Schizosaccharomyces pombe: one gene and its partner. The gene in region 2 interacts genetically with the main gene of each other region. Each region holds a gene or a part of one and is shown on either strand. Other genes may lie near its edges.

The links. Genes that interact genetically often act in the same process or in processes that back each other up.
Region 1: mutations in sck1 (region 2) and bzz1 together harm fitness less than expected from each alone (positive genetic interaction), as found in Schizosaccharomyces pombe (one large-scale study listed by BioGRID).

What each region holds. Positions count from the first base shown.
Region 1 is NC_003423.3:2,464,145-2,467,906, forward strand, and holds the start of bzz1 (diacylglycerol-binding protein Bzz1), read left to right. Parts: upstream 1-1,883; 5' UTR 1,884-2,028; coding exon 2,029-2,067; exon of another isoform or gene 2,068-2,111; coding exon 2,112-2,138; exon of another isoform or gene 2,139-2,192; coding exon 2,193-2,256; exon of another isoform or gene 2,257-2,307; coding exon 2,308-2,428; exon of another isoform or gene 2,429-2,506; coding exon 2,507-3,543; exon of another isoform or gene 3,544-3,589; coding exon 3,590-3,762. Other genes in the region: ATP-dependent RNA helicase Dbp5, read right to left, coding at 203-1,714. UniProt on the Schizosaccharomyces pombe protein: Plays a role in endocytosis and trafficking to the vacuole. Functions with type I myosins to restore polarity of the actin cytoskeleton after NaCl stress.
Region 2 is NC_003424.3:2,403,104-2,406,865, forward strand, and holds the start of sck1 (serine/threonine protein kinase S6K family Sck1), read right to left. Parts: upstream 1,601-3,762; 5' UTR 1,504-1,600; coding exon 1,264-1,503; exon of another isoform or gene 1,148-1,263; coding exon 457-1,147; intron 408-456; coding exon 1-407. Other genes in the region: SPOM_SPAC1B9.03C (ribosome biogenesis protein), read left to right, coding at 3,561-3,584, 3,643-3,702. UniProt on the Schizosaccharomyces pombe protein: Protein kinase that is part of growth control pathway which is at least partially redundant with the cAMP pathway. Required for trehalase activation.

The DNA of each region.
Region 1 (3,762 bases), on a different chromosome or scaffold from region 2:
TGCAATCTTAAGTCAAAATGTATACTCTTTTTTCTTTGTTTTCACACTTCTGCTCTCTACTTTTTGTAAGTGAGATTACGTTCTCTTTCGGTAGTTGATATGCAAAAAAACCAGTGAAATACCAGCATAAGTAAATAATATTCCTTTAGTAATTGGTACCAAGAAACCTATGTATTAAATAATCTCTAAAAATCAACATGCTTTACATTTTAAGTGCATTCTTGACAACTTTTTCAAGCTCTTCGTAGTCATCTGTAGGCACTCGCGTGATGGGACGTTGGAAGTATTCTTGAATGGCGTTCATTTCTTCCCAACTCTTTTTATCGTGAACAAAATTGATACTTACTCCAACACGGCCGAACCTACCGGTACGACCTATACGGTGAAGATATGTTTGTGGATCGGGTCTTCCTGCTTGATCTAAAGGCATATCATAGTTTACAACCAAGTTGACTTGCGATACGTCGATACCCCGAGCAATTACATTCGTAGTAACCAAAACCTTTGAAGTACCTACTCGGAATGAATCCATAATAGCGTCACGTTGTGCACCTTCCAGATTACCGGTAAGACAAGCAACAGTGTGTCCATCTGCAGTCATACGCCTAGCAATTTCTTCAGCGGTATCCTTTTTCTTACAAAATATAATTGATTGACCAATAGTCAATAACCCATATAATTCCACTAAAACATTATATTTATGTTCTTCACTTTGGCAATCCATATACAACTGCTTGATTCCCTCAACAGAAAGCTCCTCAGTCTTCAGACGAATTTCATTAGCATTGGGAGCAAAACGTTCAGCGTACTTTTCAACGCGTTCCGAAAAGGTAGCACTGAAAAGAACAATCTGAGTGTTTCTAGGAAGAAGGTGCTTGATACGCATAGATTGATCTCCTAATCCTTGCTGATCTAACATGTTGTCTGCCTCATCTAACACGAATACTTTAATATCGCGAGCGTCAAGCTGTCTTCTCTTCATCAAATCCATCACAGTGCCAGGCGTTCCGATTACAATTTGAGCATCGATTTTTGCACCTTTAGGGACGGAGTCTTTAATACCAAAAGCTGTTTTTACTTCAGTATATTTGCCCATCTCCGTCACGACATCCATAATCTGACGGGCCAATTCACGAGAAGGAGCGAGGCAGATAGCTTGAGGTTTGGGAACAGAAGCATCAACACGAGAAAGCATCGTTAATGCAAATGCAGCGGTTTTACCAGTTCCGGATTGTGATTGTCCGATCATATTGCGAGGAGGATTTGAGAGTAAAAGTGGAAGCGCCTTCTCTTGAATTTTTGAGGGTTTTTGGAATTTCATTGAATAAATTCCCTTTAATAATTCGGGCTTGAGCTCCAACTCTTCAAAACTTTTAACAGAAAAAAGAGGTGAGTTTGGATCAGCCTGTAGATCTGCTAATTTTACACGAACCTCGTTTTTATTTGGTATTAAATTAGATTCATCATTTTCAGATTGCTTCGTATTGGCGTCCTCTGCAATCGTGTTGGTCGCTTTGTCTTGCTCAGATTTTGCATCAACATTCTCAGTGATTTTTGGACCTAATCTGTCACTTAAATTTGTTGCTTTTTGATCTTCATTTTTATTTTCTGAAGTATTTAACTGATTGACTTTATCACTAATTCTTTGAACCTCTTCATCAGAGTCCAAACTAGCCCAGTCAGTTTTGCTTTCCTGTCCCAGTGTAGTTGACATTTTGGATGTTTTTTAGTAAAAAAAATAAAAAAAATCAAATTTATAGTTCAGATATCCAAACTCAGCAAGGATGACTTAGCAAACTGGATGACAATTTCTGGTGGGCAATGTAGTTGGTGATTGCTAAGTTACTCCTTAAGTGAAAGTTGAACAATATAGGTTTCGATTCACCACCGTACTTCCTTTTCATCAACATTCGTAACGTAAAGCCAAAAATTGTCACAATTTCTTCCGTCAAACTTTCTTTTTAATTGTTTTATATCCGGTACAAATTTTTATTGCAGCGATATCAAACGTGTAGATAATACTGGATAATGAGCCTGGAAACATACAAATTTAGTGATGAACTTCACGTAAGGTGTTTTAGTTATTTGGCATATTTACTAATATATAAAAGGACGATTTTAAAGTTGTCGACAGTTGGGTATGCCAAGAATGAAAATGAAGACAGTTCAACAATTAACACATTGTAACAAAGATTAATAATGGCGCGAAATGGCTTGAAGATATTCAATTGTACTACAAAGAAAGAAGTTCTATTGGTAAATAAGAAACGACAATGGTTAAATTTCAATGACTAACTTTGTTGCTAGAAAAAGAATATGCTCAGAAATTAGCCAGTCTTTCGAATAAATATGGGGAGAAGAAATCCAGAAAATCATCAGCCCTTTCAGTCGGAGATACTCCGGCAATGTCTGCTGGCTCTTTAGAATGGTATGTAAAATATTGGAACCTGTCAAGCAATTGAAGTTAGATGGATATTGAATTCCTGTTCACAGGCTAATTTTATAGTGCTTCTTTAACAACATGGTCTAAAATTTTGGATGAGTTAACGCGCTCATCAAAAACTCATCAAAAGCTATCCGATGACTATTCATTGGACATTGCTGAAAAACTGAAGAAACTAGAGTCTCATATAGAGGCTTTAAGAAAAGTTTATGATGATTTATATAAAAAATTCTCATCCGAAAAGGAGACATTGTTAAACAGTGTGAAGAGAGCCAAGGTCAGTTACCATGAGGCCTGCGATGATTTAGAAAGCGCAAGGCAAAAAAACGATAAATATCGAGAGCAAAAAACTCAAAGAAATTTAAAATTATCTGAAAGTGATATGCTCGATAAGAAAAATAAATACCTACTTCGTATGCTTGTATACAACGCCCACAAGCAAAAGTTTTATAATGAAACTCTACCAACGCTCCTTAATCATATGCAAGTATTGAACGAATACAGGGTTTCGAATTTAAATGAAATATGGTGTAACAGCTTTTCAATTGAAAAGTCTCTCCATGATACCTTATCCCAAAGAACCGTTGAAATTCAATCAGAAATTGCAAAAAATGAACCAGTCCTTGATTCTGCCATGTTCGGAAGGCACAATTCAAAGAATTGGGCACTTCCTGCTGACTTGCATTTTGAACCTAGTCCTATCTGGCATGACACGGATGCACTGGTGGTGGATGGTTCATGTAAAAACTACCTCCGAAATTTACTGGTCCACTCCAAAAATGACCTTGGAAAACAGAAAGGCGAGCTTGTATCGTTAGATTCACAATTGGAAGGTTTACGCGTCGATGATCCAAATAGTGCTAACCAGTCATTTGAATCTAAAAAGGCTTCGATAAATCTAGAAGGGAAAGAGCTCATGGTAAAGGCCAGAATAGAAGATTTAGAGGTTCGTATCAACAAGATCACGTCAGTTGCGAATAATTTAGAAGAAGGAGGTCGTTTTCATGATTTCAAACATGTTAGTTTTAAACTTCCGACAAGTTGCAGTTACTGTCGTGAAATTATTTGGGGGTTATCGAAGCGTGGATGTGTTTGCAAAAGTACGAAATATTTGCTTTCTTTCGTTAACTAACAAAACACGTGTAGATTGTGGCTTCAAATGCCATGCAAGGTGTGAACTTCTTGTTCCCGCCAACTGCAAAAATGGTGAGCCCGAAGTGGCCGACGATGATGCTGTAGATACCAGTGTTACTGCCACTGATGATTTTGATGCTTCTGCGTCGTCTTCAAATGCCTATGAATCCTATCGTAACACATAC
Region 2 (3,762 bases):
ATCGCAAAGAGCAATATGACCATCTGCATCTAATAGTATGTTTTCAGGCTTTAAATCTCGGTAAATAATATCATGTTTATGCAAATGTTCAAGAGCCAAAACAAGTTCGGCTATATAAAATTTAGCTCTTTGCTCAGGAAAGCGACCTTCATGTTGAAGATGCCAGAAAAGTTCGCCTCCACTCATATAATCAGTTATCAAATAAAGATCTGAAGCGGTCTGAAAGGAAAACTTTAAACCAACAATAAACGGAGATTCGTCTAATGAAGTCCTGACAAGTATATTCCTTTCGCCCAAGGTATGTGTAACCTCTTTTTTACGAACAATTAATTTTTTGGATATCTTTTTCATAGCATAAATCCGATTGGTATCGTTTTTACGGACCAAATAAACTTGCCCAAAAGTGCCTAAATAAAGTTAGTATACCGTAAATTTTTTAGCTTAAAGCAGCTTTACCTTTTCCGATTAAACGAAGGGCCGTAAAATCTTCTGGCCCATAACGAACATGTTCAATGTGCTCGTAAATTGTTTCCACTTTTATTTCACCCTCCAGAGACTTAGTTAAGTCAAGAGGCTCAAGCTTATACCATGCTTCCTGCACATATTCATGTAGGAAAATTGGTGTAATTTTAACGGAGCCCAAAAATTTATCGTCTTCATATTTGTCATATACAGATACAACCATTTGACTTTTCATTTTTGTCACATCAAATACAGTTTCAAAATCCCAATGAGGACAACGCACATCAGCCAACATTAGCTCAGAATGTAGTCCAGAAGAAGAACCGGAAGCAGATCCAGCAAGAGGACGGTTTTTAGAAGGAATGGAAATGGGTATCCCACCGTCAATGTCTTTAAAAGGAGGAGGTACCATAACCTGCGTTTTTTCAAAGGTGATTACTGCATAAGGTTGTGCATTAACACTTTTGACGTTCAAATCTCTACCTTGATGTAATCGAACATAAAGCCGTCCAAAAGCATGCTGACCATTTTTATCTTTTGGCACAACGGTATCATGCCTAATGTAACACGAAGATGGAGGTGTACGACTCTGTAGTAGTTTGGGTTTTTCTGAATATGTACCCATTGGTGTAATTCCATTGCTTTCGGAACTATTAGAACCAGATTCTTTATCTTCCTTTAAGGACTATGATAGGTTAGCCAAGTGAACAACAATTTATGGAGACAGTGATTTTTGAAAAACACAATAAAGAAAGCTATGGGGAAGATTGTCTTTCAAGCAAAAAATCAATTATAACATACCTGTTCTTTGTGAAGCTGAGCTGTAATCTCATTGTAACGCATCTTCATCCGATCCGACATGAAAACGGGATCATAGCCATTAGACGAAGCACCCTCTTTCCCTTCGTAATCGTTTACTTTCGTAGAATGGTCATTGGAAAGAACCGGTTGCGTTGAATGCGATTGTATTGTGGATGGCGATGCTTGATTTGTATTCTCAGAATTTGATGATCGATGCAATTTACCGAAAATTTCGGTCATTTTCAGCAAAAGCAATGATCAATCAAGAATCTTTTAATACTCTTTTAATGGAATCGGATTCCTCGTCTGGTGTTACTAATAATAGGGTGTGGTGTTTAAAGTTGGTTCGACCAGCAGGTGTTTCGCATATGTAACCTTCGCAATTCCCTTAATCGAAAAGTGTGGTAACATCCGGGAGTACGATATCTTAGCGAACGGATAGAAAATCCAGTATTTTTCGAACACTAATTCGTATTTTACTATGATTATATAGATGTATAATTTTAAATGGTTATAATATCAGAGGGGCGCCGCACTTCCATTTATCTATTTCTTAAGGGATTCAGGTAAGGGGGATGTATAACCCTAAACATTTGAAAAATTCCTTTGCAGTGTATTTTATTATTATGCACTTATTCTAAAAGCAGAAAAAGAAATTTATCGAGCAATTAATACGCTGTTGACTCAGAAATGTCTTGTGATTTTCAAAGGTTTGTCCAACGAAGGAGTATCGAAACAGAGTTCTCCGAATGGCTTAGTAGAAACTTCATGTATATTTATTTTAGCCTACATATACAAAAGAAATTAAAGCACATTACAACGTAATTTCGGAGAGCTCAAGCTATGAGATTTTCGACTGTTTAGTTTCGAGGAATACCTAGATAGTACCGAAAAATGCTACACTCTTTTTTTATAAACATTTATCAAATAATTTTTAATGCGTTGGCTGATGCCTTAACCAAAGGTCATACTAAATTTACCAGAAAAGTTTCTTTTTCTTTAATAAATCAATTGTAGTGTTTGAATGAATGAGCTTTAGTAGGATGTCCACTGGTCAATTAAAATTGTAACTTACTGACATACATTAGCAAATTTGGGCACAATTTCTAATTGTTATTTGCTTCTCATGGTTTCTGATATGCGTTTGATGCAAAATACTCGGGATTTTTGTATTTCGGCTGATTTAATTTTAATTTTAATTTTTTTTTATTTAAGTCTCTCTATACTCATTACTGTGGTCAATTATATTCCTTGAGTTTATTAAATCTTTTATTTACAGAGTACAATTAATTAAAATGGAGCCAAAAAAATAACCCTTGTTAAAAATTTTTTTAAACTGTTAATTCCCTCCCCAAAAAAAAGATTTAAAAGGAAAATGATTAAAAAAAACGAGAAATAAAATTTCATGTAAAAAGATAACTTTGTATAGTAATTTATATAATAAGAGCTAGTTTGTCATAGTTCACTGCTATTGTTTATTATTATTTTTTTTCATAGCACAGTATTTCAAATTAAATATCGTAAAAGACCATCAGAAATTACAAACAAAATAAGAAAATCATCGGTTAAATTAATGACATTCAAAGTACCACTTTTCGTTCCTCTGACAAACGTTGCTACGCAACCTTGATTAGCCGTACTAGCAAACCCATCTTAGTACTTTGTGGGGGCTTTCATTTTAATAACCACTGCTAAGCTGCTAGTGTTAGGCATAAAACCGATAATAAGGACCATGTGGGGGTCTTCCGCATAGGTTAAACAAACAGCTGCTGAGGCGAGGTTCAGGTTATCGTGGTGCTTTTCTACGTTAATTTATCAATACAAAATAGTTTAATTTCCAAAACAAAAGTCAAGAGATATCAGCTACAATTACATTAATGATATGCATCATCCAAAGTCAGTGTACAAACAATAGATTTACGCCCGACAAATAAACCGGTATATTTTAGAAGTTCATCATTTTGTATACAATCAGTTACTTCCAAAAAATTATTGATTAAATAAGTGTTTATAAAAGATTTTTCATAATTTCGTAGTACGGTCATTATTCTCAATTTCACGTGTTTTTTTCTTTTTTTACTTCTAGGCCCATAACATTATTATTAACTATACTAGTATAAAAAATTTCTCGCTCAAATTATGTTCACAGCATGTAAATGAGATATGTTAAAATAGAAAATTCAGCTTTCAAAAAAATAATGTCTATTGCCATCTTTATTGTCATGTTGGCGGAAATGAACTTTGCATATTGGTGTTCTTGAGAGTGTACAATTTTTTTTAACTACCAACCACAAAGAATGGGAGGCATTGGTAAAAAACGGGTATGTTGAGAATGGATAGTTTAAAAGAAATACTTTATTTAAACTAATTTAATTATAGGTAAAAAAGAGGACGCATTTGAAAGCTGATCCTATACAAGAAGCAGCAATTCCTAAATCGGTATGTGCAATTTTGTAAAATTGTAAAATTTTTTAGTCCCTTTGCTAATTCTTATTTAAG